Neodiprion lecontei: one gene and its partners. The protein of the gene in region 1 interacts with the protein of each later gene in a pairwise test. Links are inferred from orthologs where the notes say so. Each region holds a gene or a part of one and is shown on either strand. Other genes may lie near its edges.

What was found.
Region 2: the proteins of huntingtin (region 1) and thioredoxin domain-containing protein 11 interact in binary tests that used the Homo sapiens proteins (3 or more experiments, as listed by UniProt). The link is inferred for Neodiprion lecontei from reciprocal best matches to the Homo sapiens genes HTT and TXNDC11.
Region 3: the proteins of huntingtin (region 1) and serrate RNA effector molecule homolog interact in binary tests that used the Homo sapiens proteins (3 or more experiments, as listed by UniProt). The link is inferred for Neodiprion lecontei from reciprocal best matches to the Homo sapiens genes HTT and SRRT.

What each region holds. Positions count from the first base shown.
Region 1 is NC_060262.1:8,088,895-8,095,286, forward strand, and holds the start of huntingtin, read left to right. Parts: upstream 1-2,216; 5' UTR 2,217-2,424; coding exon 2,425-2,510; intron 2,511-2,754; coding exon 2,755-2,941; intron 2,942-3,876; exon of another isoform or gene 3,877-3,892; coding exon 3,893-4,171; intron 4,172-4,601; coding exon 4,602-4,743; intron 4,744-5,090; coding exon 5,091-5,660; intron 5,661-5,811; coding exon 5,812-6,392.
Region 2 is NC_060261.1:41,969,828-41,976,219, reverse strand, and holds the start of thioredoxin domain-containing protein 11, read left to right. Parts: upstream 1-2,994; 5' UTR 2,995-3,374; coding exon 3,375-3,586; intron 3,587-4,052; coding exon 4,053-4,263; intron 4,264-4,385; coding exon 4,386-4,616; intron 4,617-4,768; coding exon 4,769-4,972; intron 4,973-5,068; coding exon 5,069-5,266; intron 5,267-5,372; coding exon 5,373-6,092; intron 6,093-6,168; coding exon 6,169-6,392. Other genes in the region: exosome complex component RRP46, read right to left, coding at 999-1,181, 1,779-1,922, 2,077-2,198, 2,309-2,422, 2,650-2,758. UniProt on the Homo sapiens protein: May act as a redox regulator involved in DUOX proteins folding. The interaction with DUOX1 and DUOX2 suggest that it belongs to a multiprotein complex constituting the thyroid H(2)O(2) generating system.
Region 3 is NC_060264.1:19,006,016-19,012,407, forward strand, and holds the start of serrate RNA effector molecule homolog, read left to right. Parts: upstream 1-3,001; 5' UTR 3,002-3,158; intron 3,159-3,576; 5' UTR 3,577-3,582; coding exon 3,583-3,707; intron 3,708-4,666; coding exon 4,667-4,927; intron 4,928-6,392. Other genes in the region: uncharacterized protein LOC124294542, read right to left, coding at 435-568, 643-1,092, 1,191-1,409, 1,548-1,655. UniProt on the Homo sapiens protein: Acts as a mediator between the cap-binding complex (CBC) and the primary microRNAs (miRNAs) processing machinery during cell proliferation.

The sequences.
Region 1 (6,392 bases):
TATCAGTGGGTTGGACCGGTTCGACTCCCTCTACTTGTGAGATGATCGCGTCCTAATAGTAGAAGTTAGTGGGATTCTAGTTTCATTTTTAGCCGCAACCTTGGCAACATCTAAGGTTCCGACCATGGTCTTAGATCGTGTTCGTAAATTGACTGACAGTACTGAAAATTCCCTACGACAGAGTCAAAGCTATTCATGAACTTGGAAGCGCAAAAGAGATGAAAAATTGCTGACAGTACTGTCAGTCAATTTTCGAACACGGCCTTATAGACACGTCTGGGTACTCCAGGGTACTCCGGCTGTAACTCCGTGCTCGAAAATGAAACCGATGTTGTGAATTTTCGCCGCTAGCGCTAGTGAGGAAGAGGCCTACTTAGGGCGTGTTCGGAATTCGACTGACCGTACTGTCAGTACTGAAAATCTACAGTAGACGTCACTTGGACTATACCATTTTCAGTACTGACAGTACTTTCTGTCAATTTCCGAACACACCCTACATAGAGATCAGTGTACTATACACAGTAGAGATCAGTGGTGTTTACGGTTCCGGAGGCTCCGTACGCGACAGGTCAAACCTGTTTCCGTCTCTCTCACACAGCCTGCATCTCTCTATTGCAGCGACACTCGTGGTCACTAGGCGAAACGATCGGTGCTTCAATAAGAGGACACCCCCACCACTGAAATTTTGACTGAATTGCCAGACCCACGGTCTTACATACAGGTCTTGCGACTCAATAGAATTCCAATGGTAGAGAGTGGCTCCTCTATTGAAGAAAAATCCAGATGGAGCTGCGATCGAGGGATGCATCAACATAACCTACAATGTTTGAGTAAGCCTTTGACGATTGACGTGCGTGTTCCGTATTGTGTTTCGTTCACAACACGGTCAAGACCGTGTCCTTGTCGCACCGGGCATCCCTCGATCGCAGCGACGCTAGCGGCTTGACACGTTAAGAGGCCCACGTCGAAACTCAGAGTCGCAAGACCTGTATGTAAGACCGTGATACAAATTATCCAGCATGAACTATAGAATCCTTTCCGAAAGTAGATCTGTAATGTGGAACAATACAGAGCGCCACCTAGAGAGTATATCAGGGACACGACACTAAACCACTGTAGATAAATCAATTCACCGGATGATTCTGTTGGGCAAAACAATTGAATATCAATCCAATAGGTAAAATGATGAATACATCATTTTAATAATTAAACCATTTAGTCCAATAGCATCCATACCAATTTTGGAAATGAAACGTAACAATGTACAAAACATCAACCTTTACAAAGTCAGTAAGATTTCCAAGGAAGTGTCTAATAACGCCTCGAGGGCACGCGCGGCATCCAAGTTTATACCTATGTTCATTGCTGGGTAGAACGGCAACAAATAGATTGCCAAGTTCGTTCTCTTGATATCAATACATTCATGACTTTCATGCATCAATTATGGCCATAGTTATGGAGACTAGAGATAAGGAGTCCGAACGGAATGCTAGCCAAATGGTCGGTGAAACTGATGAACGATCCGCGGATTGTAACCGCCTGGTAGCGCTACCACTGCGGGCTTCGGCAGCGCGGTGATTTTGAATCGTCGATCCTCACGTATGTATTCTGGGTATGTTCCGATATACACTGCGAGCACTGTTCAGTGCTCTTACTGGGGAGAAATTCGTTCCGTTATAGACTGACAGTATACAGTCGCAGTATCCTAGGGAAATATATGACGTCATAAATCGTCGCCATTTTTCTACTGTGAACACTGGTGCTTTCGAGGTAAGGTGCTCTCAGTGCTTTGATGACGTGATCAACAGCGTTCAGAAATTTAACAGCTTCCACTATTGATAATTATTATTATTGAATATTGTCATTTAAAAATATCGGCCGTTAAAAACAAAAATGGAAAATTTGAATAAATTGTGTTTATTGCAATGTGAAACAAATATTATGTATGAAATGAAAGTAACGCCAAAAAATGTCGATCACAGTATACTGTACTGCGTTCCGTTTTAAGCAGTAACCAGTATAGCTAACTATACAGGAACGGCTTCGCAGTATACTAAATTGACGACACACCTTACAGTGCTCGCAGTGTATATCGGAACATACCCTTTATTCGTAACCAGGCGCTGGTATCTCTTGCGGATACATCCCGAACTACAAGCTCTTTCATCGCTTTCACGAACCACTTTTCGACGATTCCGCCATATGCGTTCGGATTCCTTTACTCTAGTCTCCATGGCCAGTTTTATGCCTATGTGTATGATTGTGGCACCTGTCACATTAATGTCGGCTGTTGTTATGTTTAGCATTTTAAGGTAGATCACAAGTATATGAATTATTTCCAATATGTTAGTGATTAACAGCGGATGTGCTTGACGAATGATAAATATCTACGTATAATAACGCATAAAATATCCATTGACAACCATGGCTACGATTAACGGAATACTCAAAGCGGTGGATACATTGAAAAATTTGCAACTTCAAGATACTTCCCACGATTGTGCCGCCAGGTATTTTCATTATATGACTTTAAAAAATAAGCACTATTCAGCGTTTTCAAGCGCACTTCATGCACGTAAAATGCATACCTACTGTACACCCGTCCGTATATACGTCTTTTATGTAAACTTCTATATTGATTTTCGCGTCACAGATATGCTTACATGCGATTAGAAGTATTGGAGTTTGAATTGAGATTTCATCTTCCAACGAGGTTATGTCAACCAAAATGACAAATGTCCTTATTGTTTACAGAAAAAAAGAAAAAATCGCGTACTGCACTACTGTGGCAGACGGCATATGCTCTTCTGCCGCTAGACTCACTCCAAAATTTTCTCAAGTTCTTAACGTCGCTATAGAGACGCTGCTAATGCTTTGTGATGACTCGGAATCAGATGTCAGAATGGTTGCCGACGAATGCTTGAACAGGATAATACGAGGGGTATGCTGAAAATTTTAGTATACATTCGATGTAAACATATTCAGGGGATACATCATTAAGTTGTACCATCTTTCAACTTTGAAGCATCTTTAAAATACTTGTCATACTTTAGGCAAAATGTACAGACCCCAAACCATATTTTGCTTCCCATATTTGCCTTTAAATATTTTTAGGCTCTATGGGATACATGCATTTCAGACTTTGACAATTAGTTGAATGATTCTGTCACCCTCTAACATCAACATAGTGTCCAGCTCATTCGGAATAACTGGTAAAAGTTGAGAGAACAGTTAGGGGTAGTCAGTTGATTTTGGCATAACGTTGTCTAAATGATAAAGAAAGTAATTATGCAGGCTGATCCCTATACAGAGTTTTGAAATTAACTGTAATGACAATGATTTCAATTGTTAGCATTAAACATAAATATTAGATGAATAAAGTAAAAGGTTCTGAAATTCAATGATTGTTTACATTTCATTGTAAATGTGAATTTTATAATGACTCACGTCATTCCATTTATTACATTTTATAATAAAAATTCAGGTTCATAAAATCTCCATCAGTTGTTGATTATGATAGAAGAAGTGGAATAGTCCTTTGATCAAGTTAGTCAGGATTATTATATTTTACTGGAATCTTGCAGTAGAATTTAAAAAACGATTAAATTTAATTTTGCATTGTACGGTATACATAAGGTTTTAAAATTCTAAGAGGAAGTTAAGGAATTTGAAGAATAAGTTATTGCAAAATGAATAATGCTGTTATCGAAGATTTTGCATATTATCCAGTTGCATTGTGCAGTATTTTTACAAACTTTCTTGCCCAATGGTGAAAACGACTGAAAATTAATGATAAAAACTACAAGAAATTACTGAATTTGCTAGGCACCGAGGCTAAGTATATAACGAATTAATTCTGCTTCTATTTGATAATAGTTCTTCTTATTGTCAGGCTATGACAGATGGCAACATAGTGAAGGTACAAATCGTGTTATATTGCGAAATAAAAAAGAACGGTACTGCCCGAACATTAAGAACTGCACTATGGAGGTTCGCGCAGCTGGGGCACATGATCCGGCCGCTGAAAGGAAAGGCTTACGTGGCAAATCTGATACCTTGCATTGTAGCTATTGCTCAGCGTTCCGAAGAATCTGTTATCGAGACACTAGCCAATTCTTTACCATTGATTTTGAAAACTCTGGGGAATTTTACAACAGATAGCAATGTGAAGGTAAATAAATTGAAACAAAATACGAAATTTGTTCATCTGGATACTACGCCATATTTAAATGAGTGTGTTCTTTACTCACATTTAGCCTTAGCAAATTTTAGAAAAAAAAATCTAGACTCTCGTCACAGAATAAAATAATCAATAAACGCGATTGCTGTGCAATTAATAATCGGCGATTCATCTCCCATTCATATAACACACAATCTATATGGTGCTGTAGCTCATGTGTTTGAACCCGTATTAAACACAATGGCGAGCCTCTTTTCACATCAATATTTTGAATTGTCACCCAATTTCAGAGTATGCTTATCTTCCAGTAGATTAGACATCGCTTTATTTGCGAAATTGGCTTCGGTATATGCTATGAGGCCGACAGGATGTTAAATTGTCCCGTTGAACATTTGGTTTTCATGATAATTATAATTTTCAGACTCTACTCAATGCATTCTGTCAAAACATACCTTCAACACAGGCTGTATTCCGCAGAACAGCAGCTAATATGATTCTTACGACTTGCTTGAACTCTCGAAATCCTCAGGCTTTCTTATTGCACGTTTTACAGTATATGATAGGTGAGGAAGATTTTTTAATCACCTAATTTGCGTGTGACACTTTCGCTTCTAGATCAAACTGTAGCATTCTATGCTACATAGTCTATGAACCTTTGAGGCCATGAGTTTAAAATTTGGAATGCTAATGTAACAAATACACAGAGAGACAATTTAACAACCACAATCATTCCTTCAGCCTTTGGTTGTTGAAACAACTAAACTTTTTACCTTTGATACGCTGTTACATTAGCGCTACAAATTTGAACCTTGTATTTTCATCTGTGTTGTATCAAAATAAGGATATTATTAATTGTTAGGAAGTTTACCCTCTCAGAATCCTAAACGGAACTTACTTATCTCTTGATTAGATACTCTTGTGCCAATAACTGATGACGAAGACCGTGTTACAACGGTAATTGGAGTATTTGGCTGTCTAAGGATAATAATACCTCATATTGATGAAACATCAAATTTGAGCCAACCTGACGTCCCCCTTCATAGCTTTATACAGGTGTATGAGCTATGTCTACACTTTGCCAGGTGGCATTCCGATCACAATGTCGTCAATGCAGCGTTGGAGACCTTGGCTCAATTACTACAATTCCCTTTAAAAGAATTGGTTCCGATCTTGGTTTCCTGTCAAGGGATTACACGGAGCAGGATAGCAATGAATGAAAATACAGCCCGCCTTTCTTTGGGACCGATGAGTGGTTCCAATGTAACAATATCTGGAAGAAATTTGGATTCGACATTAAATCTTTTCGATCCAGATATTCCTGAAATTAAACCAACCGTAGAGAAATGGATTGTTGATTCGGAGAATGTATTACCAGTGATTCAACGACCCCATATCAAACAAGCCGACACCAATCAAGTCATAGGGAAAAAGGAAAAGTCTTTGGAGAATTACAGCAGCCTGATCATCGGATCTCTTGACAGTAAGATTATAACGATTTAATAGACACAACTAAAACAGCGATTGTGCTGGCGATGTAGGAATAAAAATGATGTTCGTAGCATGATAATATAATCTCATACATTTGTGTGTTTCTTATGTAATGCATGTTGAAGTTAGAATATTACTTCAAGGTGAGGGAATCGAGGAAGAGAGCGACACTGGAAGTGATATTGGGAAGGCGGAGCGTTCGCCTGATCTTAGTTTGCCGAGTTTACAATCTAAAGAAGACGAGTACTTGGACGAGGTATCATCGTCCGTAACATCTTTGCATAGAACATCGTCCGGAGTTCTATATCACGAATGTGACATAGGAATGTTCACTGACGCGGACGTACCACTAAAATATTGTTGTCGATACTTGGTGTCGTCGTTTCTGCTGACTGGAATTCCTGGTCAATTGATACCTGACAAAATGTTTCGAGTTAGCGTTAAATCACTTGCTCTAACTTGCATTGGTCATATTTTACGACTTTATCCAAACTTACTTTTATCAACAATTGATAAAACGCCGAATAGCAATGCAGAACAACAATACATCAGCGATATATTACTTTTTGCTAATCATATGGATCCTCAAATAAGAGGGAATGTTGCCATGGTAATTGGATATTTTCTGAAAGCTGTTTTCCTTCAATCTGGTGATAAATACAGAAATATGGAAATATTTCTAAGGTCGACCGTACCTGATAGAATGAAGGATAATATCTTATCG
Region 2 (6,392 bases), on another chromosome or scaffold:
CTTCAAAGTGCTCGCAACTATCCCTTGTCTCCCATTTGTCAGAGACCGCCTGACGTCATGGAGAACGTCATGAAGAGAATTATTAAAAATGCGCTTTTAGAAAATGGTAAGAAGATGCTTGGAATCTTGAAGACGTTAAAAGAATAATGATAATTATTTCTCGCGGAAGATAAAAAAAAAACCGATGAAAGCTCATTTCTTAACTATATCAAGTCAGAGTCTTGTCAGTCCAAGATGCAATTTTGCGTTAAAATATTTTACGAAACCCTGAAATTCAAAATGCCATTTAACGTAGTGGAACAAAGGGAATCTCATTGTTAAAGTGAAAAACAGTTTATTATGAAATATATGACATCGACGCACATGAACGTCATCAATTATCTTCAGGCTTAAAATAAATGTATATATATATATACACACATTCAAATCACGTTAATGAGGAAGCCTCAAGATGAGAAAGGTTTGCAGAATTTCGATGCGAAGCATCTCGCCAGGATGTCTGTAAGCTGACGCTGTATCTGGCTGTTCGGTAAGCAAAACGAAACCGGCGACTGCAGCAGAGAAACATCTACTCAGCTACGACGAGAAATAATAAAGTGGGAATGAGCGAACCGTACCATAAATTGCTTCGCTTCTTGTTAATGGTCAGCAAGACTGCGCCGCAGCTTCGGGCCCCCGGGGGGAAACCTCGCGGCTAAACGTAGTTCAGTCAGTATTCCTGGTAGCCTTATTGTATTTAATGGAATCAAAGTTACGATCGCTATTTCGCTGTACCGAATCACCTGCACCGCGGAGGCCGTTTTAACCGGTGTTATTAAATTCCTCAGCTCGAAACGGATCGAGTATACCACCGCCTAATTATTTTTATATACATACAATCGATCTCCCACTGCTCGGAAATATACGTAAAGTGCTAGTTATAGAATTGAATCATTGGATTTTTCAGCAATTTACGGGTGCGAATTCGACGTCGATAAATTTATCGCATGCAAATATGCTCATAATTTAATCGCGTATTGTTCAACTATGTTTCTATAAAAATCGAAGATGTTCTGGCTTGCTGCTCGACACTTTTCTAGAGATTCCATCAGCTCGTTCTCCGAGAATCGACCAGTTGTGTGGCAAGACACCAAGTCCTTTTTTATACCCTCGAAAACATACGTGAACGTGACCCGTGCCTGCTGCAATTTTCAATTATTATCAAATATATTAGAATTACGTATGATAAGTAATTGAAAGGAATTGAAACAAAGTAACAATAATAATACGTCATTTTTTGTTGTTTTAGGCCCAGCGTCCTTCAAAACTAATGCTCATACTTCAAAATTATAACTCCATAAAGTTCGGATTAAAGGAAATATTTATACATGAAGGTAATATTTAAAACAAATACCACACTTTTGAATTACGAAATTGACTCAACTAGGTGTTCTGAGACTCAGAAAGTAAAATTAGACAAAATTCGCTGGTTTGTCATTTCTGCTCTGATTAACATTTAGAAACATATAAAGGACAATACATGAAGAAAGTTGTGATCTTTCTCGTCTCTCCTTAAAATTTGTTGACAGAGCACAAAAACAATTTGATCAAAATTAGCGATTAAGGCTTTACTTGAAAATTCAACCTAAGGTTCTAGTTGTAGAAAGTTAGATTATTTCCAAATAGTTCAAACTGGGCAAAAAAAGAAAATACCAATAGCATTTAATACTTATAAATGTGTGAAAGAATATGAATTTTACTTGAAATATTTCAAATATATAAATATAAGTTTTAGAAACCTGTATTTGCGTGCTATCAGGATCTACAATCAGTTTGCCGGACTCGCGGTCAATCATGCAGGATACAGCAGCGACAGTGAATTTCATAGAAATACTGGAGATTATGAGCGCCAGGCAAGCAGCATTAATGGCACAGGCGAGTAACTGCAAAATTGTACGTAACACGTGAGTATTATCTCTTTTAATAAAAGACACAACGAAAAGTGGAAGTAAAGTGGAATCGATTGTTTTGTAATGAACCGATAAAGTGAAGTGATAGAATTGTATTGTACAACACTTAATCAATAAAAATACCAACTCCTCCAGAATCCTGCAGTTCTTGTACATTTATGCTTATTGCCATGCCAGGGTGCAACGCAGTCAGCAGTACAGCCTCGCACGTTTCCCTGATGACAGTTTCCTTCGCTCTGTCGTCGACACCTTAAAATACAGAATAATTATCAAAATGTTAAATCACGTAACAAGCGAAATAATCTGTTAAAGAGCTATAATCAAAATATCAGGATTGTCGGCAGTCAAGAAATACTTACACGGTGGTCCTTTTGCAGGACTAAACATTGTTTCAACGGTCGCTCTGTCGTGCATCATCTTTTGTAGCTTCGCTTCAATTGGTCCATAAACTCCGGCAACAACGACGGTGTCACCTGGAATCGATCATTTGAAAACACCATCAGTTCAGAATTATGGTATGTACATATTAGATACCACAAAAGAGCCGTGCAATAAATTTGAAAAATTGGAATATGTGAATCTAGGAAACTAGGTATGTAAAATCTGGATGTTTATGTGATGATAGCTAACATAAAAAATAAACAAAATAAATGGGAACTCACGCTATGAAAACAAACGACCGTTCACACGAATTAGTTACCTTGCATAAACATTGCCGAACCATCCGGTCTGCTCAGCTGATTTAATTCACAGTTCATCGGTCTCAAAACGCACTCCTCTTCCTCCGTAGTTTCCAATTGGTTTTGCATTTCAATTCGTTTTCTATCTTCGCCGCTCCAATTTGAACTAGGTTAGGAGCAGACAAATGGAAGACACGCGTTGCATCGACGCCAGAGTTAAAGCTCATGAGATGTACGACATGGGGATATCCAGAAACTCGGCGTCGCGGCTTTTCATTGGTCCACGTCAGGATATCCCTAGATATAGCGGAAAGATGTGCAGGGTGCCAACTGCAGAGTATCAAAAAATTCCATGACAGTTTAGCAGCCGATTCAAGTCAAAACGTTATTTATAAAAAATAAGCCACGTGCGATTCGGAAGCAGACGTATTGTAATAACCCTGAAAATGTATAAGGACATTCTATAAGTTCAATTTAATTGGAGATGAAATTTCGATACTTGTACACTAATGTCGTTTAAGACGAGTGGATTTAAGCGGTCAGCTGTTCACCGGGGAGAAAAAGATGGAGCACAGGTGACATATGTGTGGACCTTGGGGCGCGAGTTTATTAATCGTTTGTAATTCAGTTAATATAATCCCCATGAAAAGATAAGTAGGCCCGAGTGATGACGCGATACGTGACGAAAATTTGACGGCAATCATCCCCCCGTCGGACCTTCGTTATTTCCTTAATTTCGAGGATAATGACCAGTGGAGAACGCGACACAAGTCCGCAAAGAAATGGTGATAATTTGCGGCCGACCAATGATTCAGGAAGTGATAACGTGGTCCAAACATCACTCGCAACGAGCTCCGCACTAGAAGAACGATTAGCCTCGAAAATGTTACACTATGGCAAAGAATTATGTTTCTTTGCTGCAATATTATTCACCACCTTAGCTGCTCTTCACACTTCGTAAGTTTTTTAAAAATAGTTAAGGTTATCCGCCAACTCACCTCAATAATTCTACGTTTTTTAATCATCTAGCATATTGTAAAAAAAATCAAATGCCAATATCATGAATTACATTGTAGAAGAAATTATTTTTCAACATTCATTTTACCTTTGGATATTCTTTAACAACACTATTTTACAACGGCGTTCTATTACTGATATTTTTGAATATGTATGATCCGAATCAAATTTAGGAAGTGTCAAATATCGTTACTTGCAAGCGGAGTCAAACTATAGAAATCAATGTTCAATAAAAACCGGTAAAATTCTCAAATATTACTTTCAAAAACATCAAATGAAACCTTGACTGCATTTAATTGTAAAACATGATCTCTCATAGATTTTTTTAGTTGATTAAATACATGTATAACGTATCTGATAAACAACTAGTTTAATAGCGAATTCTCAACTTTGAATGTATTTACAGGCCACCAAAAGTGTCACAACCTCCTTCAGCTCGGCCATTCTTTAACCAAAGCTCGCTTGTTTTGGATTTTTACAAAGGTCATTTAGGCGCCGCTATTGAAAGAGTCACAGATGCAGATCTCAGTTTTGTTATGTACTACGCACCATGGGATGCCGAGAGTCAAGCCGTTAGACAAGAGTTTGAAACTGTGGCACGTTTTTACCACAAACAGGTTCTCATTAATTCATTTACTAAGTTCTATACATAAATCGTTATTCAATTATTGCTTCTTGCCTTTGACATTACTACAAAAACTTGTGGAAACCACACTAACTTTAATTTGTTAATTTTCAGATATTTTTTGCAGCCATTAATTGCTGGCACCCGGGTTCAGAATGCCGGGCTGAATACAGCAAGATTCAGAGCTACCCAGTTTTTATGCTCTATCCTAGGCGAGGACCTGGTGTTCAGTACAGAGGTATTCGTACTGCACCGTACATGATACGCTTCCTCCACGCATTTATGAACCCAATATTCAGAATAACAGACAGAAATCAGCTCCTGAACCTGATTGTAGACTATGACGTAGGTTTGATTACGTTTCTCCCTCTGTCCCTCTCTCTCTCTCTCTCTCTCTTTCTGTTCAATCTGGGTTGCGACCTCTACATGTTTATTGTTATTATCACTTAAGTTATCTCCACATATATGTGAAATTATCACAAAACCTTATGTTCTAGGCCGTGGTGATAGGTTACTTTAATTTTATCGGACTGAAAAACTCACCGGGATACAATGTCTTTTACAAAACGGCAATTAAATCACTAGAAAGAGATCCTAACAAAGAGTTAGCATTCGCAGTGGTTACTGACACTTCTGCAGAATCTAATTACGGAGTTACGGAGTTTCCTTCTGCTAGGTTGCTACTTTGGAACGAGTCATTGGTACGAGCAAGTTTAGCTTGAAAATATATAAATATAAGATTTTGCCTTTGATTCATCTGTTGAACATTGTGCTACGATAAAATATTCATTGTACAGAGTTATCCTGTGGAAAATGAATGGAAATCTGATAGTTTACTGAAGTGGATTGGCGGAGCACTGCATCAAGCTACTCTTTGGCTGCAACCCCCAGGCACCAAGTCTCTCACACTAGCGCCATATTTGAAGGATGGACCAGTATTGTTTCTATTTACACCCAGGAACCCATTTCATCAATATAACTACTACTATAATTTGGTAAATATTTTAAGGATAACTGAAGCTTGAATTTTATATCACACAAACTGTTCTTTTTTCATCATTAACATTTGTTTCATAAATTCTCCTGCCATGATTTTTCCAGTTGAAAGCAATTGGAGTACAGTATTATAATTGCGGCGACAACTTGATGATCAAAAACATAGTGAACCACCTGGAGTCTGTTCGTCCCAGGGAGAAAGCAAAGCATTATGAAAAAAGTAAGCAGTGTATGCGCCTTTTAGATAGAAACAGGGTTCAACAACTGGTTCCAAAAATGAGTATTACCGACCGACAGTGGATAAACAGCAGCTGTTGTTCTCAAATTTTAACTAACAAGTGTTTAATGTGCAAGAAGACAACCTCTGTGTTGCTTAAAAATGAGGATGCGGTATGTGCCGCAAATTTGAACAGCTTTCATCACAGCTGTAAGCCAACAGATGTCTTTAACATACCGACAAAAGAGGGAGAGGAACACGAAAAAAACGAATTTTGTTGTGAAAACTATGACATGATGGAAGATCTCGAAACTTCTACTTTAACAGAAGAAAATGACTTGCAAACTCCAAATGCTTTGTCTGATTACATTCTAAAAGATGAATGCAGACACTTACTAACTGGGAATAATTATCACCCACCAGTATTTCCGAAAAACTTACCTCGCGATCATCAGAAAATTAATTTAACATCTTCTATATGCAAGACTAACAAAACATTGGCTTTGATAGCTGTTGATAGCCTACAGTTCTTTCATATTGCTGAGGGGCTGGGCATTGATGTTGCAATAAAGAAAGATAAAACTGCTGTGGCTATTGTAGACCCTCTGGTATGTTAATCTATGAATGTTACAATAATGTAGATAAATCGATCTTAGTTTAGAAAAATTATTTTGTGTTTTTCAGCAAGAGAGCCAATACATTTTGGAGCAAGCTGTGAGCTATAACTCGCTTGTACAATTCATAAACAATTATACCGAGAATTCATTAAAACGATATTTATGCTCACATAGCCGTTTGGAATCAGTAAAGAGTTCTAAAACACAGCAGGAATGCAGTGTCAGCGAAAACTCTGTAATCTGTGTTCCAGAGTTAACAACCGATACATTTTTGAATACTGTTATGAACCC
Region 3 (6,392 bases), on another chromosome or scaffold:
AAAAATATTGTAAATTTTAGACAAGAAATCAAGTTTATGTTAGAAAGTGAAAAAAAAAATTAGATATGGATCGTTGTAAAGAGAGTGGTATAATATTGGTATAAATTTTAAGCAAATAGGTTAAATCGTTTTAGAGATATCATGGGTGACGCAAAACATGGCATCGAACAAAATTACATTATTGTTTACATTGCAATAACAATGCTTTCTGTTAATGGATTTTAATGAAAGAAACATTGAGATGAAACGCGAACTGTATACTCTTAATTGAGACAAATCCCAGTTGAATTGAATATTCAGTTGTTGGACCATGAATTACCGAAATTCGCCCACTTTTTCAGCCACCTACTCGTATATTTCTCCTTAAGTTTGAAATATTTTCAGAAATATGATAACACTACAAGTTACATCAAACATGGAAATATTCGTCATACGAATTGTCAAATCCAGTTCCTTGACACGGCGAATTTGCCAGTATCTCCAGCGTTTTCAAGTTGGACAGAAAATCTTGAAAGGACTTCAACTCCTCTGGATATTGCAAAGTCGCTTTGTTATCACCTGTCGAAATCTGAAAGAAAAAACGCAAATTATTGAGTAAACTTGCATGATTTAGATTTGAAGGAAAAATTAGCACATTTTTACCTTCATTTCCATGTTCCCATCAATCAGGAGGTTTAAATCTGGTTGGCCGGTTAGAGATAAGTGGCATAAGTGAAGTCCTTCGCCAACAAATATATATGCCCACCCCTTGGGCAGGCGAAATTTATCCAAGTCAAATTTCAGTCTTTCCGTGCTGTACGGTAAACTCGAATCTTCTTGACATATTTCAATACTATTCTCTAGTGTTTGTTGAGGTAACTCTTCCATAGTCTTTGTTACGAGGCTTTTATGGTCTTTGCTAAATTCCTCAAATATGTTCTCATCATCAGATTGAACTTGTTCATTCATCAAATCATCTTCAGTAAAATTTTCATTGAAGTTAGTCAAACAAGTGTGCTCTGTTTCCACTTTTGTTATTTTTATTAGTGACAAGTTCGTATCGTTCTCCTTTAAAATTTGCTTCTCCACACTTGTAGCTCTGTCCTCAGCATCCTAAATATTTATTAATACATATGCATATACTAGAAAAGAAATCACGAGTATGTACGCTACTATAACTTTATCCGTTGAACCAAATTTAGGGACTGTACCTCTGAACGTTTGATTACAAAAGCAGATGGTATAGCGCCAAGTTTTAACTTGTATCTACCACGTTCTATCCTGTGAATAGTTCCGTCAGGCATTTTAGTTTGATAACATTTTTCGACGTCGCTATCATGGAAGTGAAGTTCGCAAACTGAGTCATTTGCAGATAACGTTCGGTCATCGCGAGCCAAGGCGGCATTCCACTTGTTCCGCAGCTCTTCGCACTGTGATGTAGAAGAATATGTTTTTCGTTACAGAAAGTGATAAGTTCCTAATGTTTATGCAACGCAAATATATCATTTCCAAAATTTTTGAATAGCCCATAATTCATATATTGCTGAAGGAAACAAGCATTCGCTTACCCGTGGTGTACTAAACAAAGTTCTTCTCCTTTTTCCTCTAGAAGTGCTTTCTCTGTTTTCAGATGCGTAGCCACTCGAGCATCCGCGGACGAAACATTTTCGCGTCATTCTCGGTAACTCATATTAAAAACGCGCTCGTATAAACGTATATAAAAGCGAAAATATGTGCGACAGATGCTTACCAAACTTTCGTCACCTCCACTTTGTTTCCCTGCTGGTTAACTACTGTGGCCACATAGTGTATCGCAGTGCTGCCAGGCGAGGACAACGGCAACTATGTCCATTTTATCCCGTTTTTAGCTGGTTACACTGGGTGCCCACCGACTGCGATTTCCCTTGTTTTTAACTTAAGGCTGGGATTCCATGGGCAGGAAAAAGGAGCAGCAATAGCAGCAATTCACTAAAAGTTACCAGCACTTGCGGCGCAAGTTTTTGATGTTTGAAATTCATCATTAAACCAGCAAACGCAAGAAATTTTATGAGCAGAACTGCTGCTGCGTCAAATCACTAGACAGATATTAGTAACATCTAGTATTAGATACTAAACTGCTGCTTATTTCTGCCAATGAAATCCCAGCTTAATAGCAAAGGTAAAATTTAAACTGCACTTTGTGCGCACTGAGTGCGATTTACCCAGTTTTTGGCCAACAGAAAAACCGAAATCCTAGGGAAAATGAATTCATAGCGTTTTCCACTGGTTGCACTGAGTGTGAACTGAGAGCGCACTAACGGTAGACTCGTATTTCCAGCGTGTTCCACTGGCAGCTCGAGTGCGTGAATTTAGCACTGAATGCGTAAAATATTGCCCTGAATTGCAATTATGGCTGCCGATCGTGAAAGAGTCGAAGTAGATGCTGTGACAGCAACTCTTTTATTAGATCTAATTTAATCTTCGTCTAGCAGTGATGATGCCTGCTGGAGTCGAAAGATAGAGGAGAGATTCCCAAAATTTTTAACTTCATAGGAGTAATCCACAGCATGTCCGATATCGAAGTATGGATACACATTTTTTCAGCTTCTAGAAGTTAACTGCTAGGTATATTTCAGGAAATTGGGACAACTTGACTTGCTGCTTATTAATTTTTATATTTTCAAGTCAAGTCAAGTAACGTCACATTATTTCTGATTTGATATGATCCCATTGATAGACAATTCATCTTACGCTATGTCTAAAAATCCCTAGAACTCGGTTAGCAAGTTTGTTACCAAATTCACCCGAAGAAGAGAACCGAACACCGAAAAAGGGTTGTAGCCGTGCCCTTGACACTCACCACTGCTCGTATACTAAAAAATTGTACGCGTTTTGTCCCCATTTTTTAGTTCCGCTACCTGGCGCTAATAGACTTCTGATACGCACGCTGCCCTCGTTGACTGCGCGCAAGCCGTCAGACAACTACTAGCGCCACTAGTGGTGGAGATTGGCGGCAGAATCGAGGGACATTTTGCGAACCACTTTTAGCAGCTTGTGTAAGGGGCTGGTTGTAGCCCACTGAAACTACTTACATCTCAGTGTTGTAGCCACCCAAAGCGAAGAGCCGCGGGAGGATAAATCGTGTGTGTCGTGTTGAGTGCTACGCCGTGAAGCCGGTTGTTTAATCCGCGATCGTTCAGGTAATTGTACTATGCTTTTATTTTGTACAAGTATACATTTCGCATGACAAAAATCCGGCCACAGAACTGAAACGTCGAGCATAACCTCCCAATAACGCGTCAATCAAGTCTCCGTACCGCTGTCCAAGCCAACGAGAGTACGCGTCGTCATTTAGCGTATCACAAATTAACGACAGTCGAATTTCGCGACGAGTTTGTGTCTATCGGAGATCATTCGTATCGTACTGATCTCGTTTTCTGTCCCCGAAAGCTTTCACCTTATCTGGACGCCTCTTACAATAATCTATATTATTATTATTGTTATCGTGGATCTTGCGCTGTATTAGTTTTCTACGACTGTACGAGTTGAGAATAGTAAACAATGGTCTCTATTATTAATCTGGGCACTTTGTTGAATCGATCGTTTACAAAATTACAGATCATAATGGCAGATTCTGATGACGAGTACGATAGAAAGAGGAGGGACAAATTCAGAGGCGAAAGAACCGAGTCATACTCCAGAGAAGGAAGACGTGGCGATGATCGTCGCCGAGATGAGTGGGTTGACAGGTACGTGCAAATCTTTTACTCTAAGTGAAGTTCTTTTAGGTTCAGCTCTGCGAAGACAATTTCAGATGCTTCATTAAAAACACTGTCCAAGCAGCAGTCCAGGCATTAACAACATTTTTGTAACAACAGATTTGCTAGAAAATATAATATATTGCAACAGCAGTATTGTCTGAAATTTGGTAAACTGTAACGAAGTTATACCATACCCTTAATTTATATTTTGGAAACTGAATTTATTCGAAATAGTTCCAAAGATGCAGATGCCTGATTTTTCTTAAATGTTTCATCACATTATCGTTACTAAGTTCAAGGTCATTAATAAATCTAAATAGATGAGAGAACAATCCCGTATGCTGAATAATTTATATGTCGAATCAAGGATTAATTACTTGGGTTGTTTAAATGAAATTTCGGAAAAGAGTTAAAACTGTTTAGAAGATATTGTGTTCACTATCAATTGCCCAAATAATACTGCGGAGGATCTTCTAAACTACTTTTCCTTTCTTTCCTTTGTTCCTAAATTTTCGATTCAGACGGTGGAACCCATTGACCCTTAACATTGTGCTTTTATCAATTTAGATTTTGTATCGTGTATGCTACAAATCTCTCGTCTATAGGTTTTATAAGAAACCTGTAACAATCAGAGAGTTTAGCATGATAAAAAAAAATGTAACAACCCTTAGCTTCAAAATGAAGTTTGAAGGAGTTGAATTTCAAAGATACAAATTTGCCAAAACAGTATGATATGCAGATTTTCTGGATTTCAGACACTTCAGAAAGTTAATAGACAACGAGTATTTTTGATATTCCGCCATTACGATAACTTCGCAAATTTTAACGTCATACTCAATTGTATTCATTAATTCTTCCTCTTCTATCAAGCCTTGCACTTGTATTTTCAAGACAACATTTTATACCAAATGCACCCTTGTATTAAAAATTTTGATTTCTGTTCCCAGGGAATGGTCGAGTCGTCCAAGAGCGAGGCCCGAGTACCGTGAGTATCGAGGTGGCGGGGGAGGCGGAGGTCGAGAGCGATACAGCCCAGCTCGATCCCAGGAAATGGCTCCGCCGATGAAGCGGATGCGGGCTGACTGGGAAGACCGTCCGCGTTACGGGGGCCACGATTATTATGGTGGCGGAACTTCCTGGGGTCCAGATCATTACACGCCGGCACACCATAGCAACCATCACTACGGCAACCATTCAAACAACAACAGGTGAGCTTGTCTGTTTTTTCTCTTCAAATGCCCATTGTTACTTTTATCACAAATAGCTGCATCTGCTAACGATCGATGAGAATAAGGTTCCGTGGTCATTTTATTTTGTCATTTACATTAATTATTGTCTCGCTGTAATTAACCATGAAGAGATTATATGACGATAATAGAGTTTTGTCCGCTCTTATTTCGCACGGCATGTTGCCAAAGCGCAGCAGATTCACGCCTAGACTTTTGGCCAGGATGAGGTAGGTATTCATTATTTTTTCTTGATATTACGCAAAATTGTTGGAGTTTGTAGCTCTAACAATGAAGATTTTTGAAAACCTCGAAGTTGTTGAGATTTCTTAAGCTTTCCTTTGACTTAATAAACACTTAAATGTTGAGCGAATACAATGAAGGGATAGAATAAGTCTTGAATTTGACAATGATGTACAGAAGAAGTGGCGTTCATGGTTAAAATTTTGAAAATAATCCTAACCAAGAATGCTGCATTTAAAACGTAGTGATTATTTGCAGTGTTAATATAAAAAAAAAAATTGAGGTATAGTGTGGATGTATATGGATATTAACAATCGAATAAACTTGAGAAAAGTGCGCATTGACGTTGAAGTTTTTCTAAAAATAGTGATCAAAAGCGACGATGCCCGATCTAACATTCTTGGCGTGCATGTACACGAGTTGTGGCCCCCTCGTACTCAAATAAGTTCAAAGCACAAACGATATAAACACTTTAGACCGCAGACGATAACACACGATCCACGTTATGTTTGCATACAGGATTGCCGCTTTTGGCGCTGTCAAAAGCACTACACATATCAAGGATATACTCCGTTCCATGAGAAAAAATTGTTTTTTTTATACTTATTGTTATTGTGTAGCAAATTTCATTACGTATTTGTGCAACTGAGAAATATTTCAACATTAATTTTAATTTTAAACTCTGGTAAATAAATAACACCCCGAGGATTTTCGTTTAATTTACAAAGTTGCACGGGAGCCACCTTAAATAAAATCTTTCTGAATCCTCAGAATCCATTTCAATGAAAAATCAATCAAAATTGTTTTAAAACGTTTGAATAATATGTGTTATTATCGAAAATGGACTTGGTAACAATAACATAACAAAACATTGGTACTGAATTTACCATTTTACGCTAATTTCGAATGATTTTTGAAAAAAAGTTTCCACCATTACTACTTATGTGCATCATAAGATTCTAATGAATCTAATTAATATCGGGGAGTGAAATCTCTTGAAGTCCTTGAAGTAGTTAATACTTTGATAGATCTTTCAAAATCAGCAGTAAATCACATGAAATCGTTTGACATCCTCTTGAAAATGTCTTCATTACATAAATGTTTATTTATGTATTCATATCGACGGGACGGGTCCAATTACATAATATATATACTAAAATAATCCAGGCCTTTAGTTGCCGTTAATAGTATTACAACGATAGGC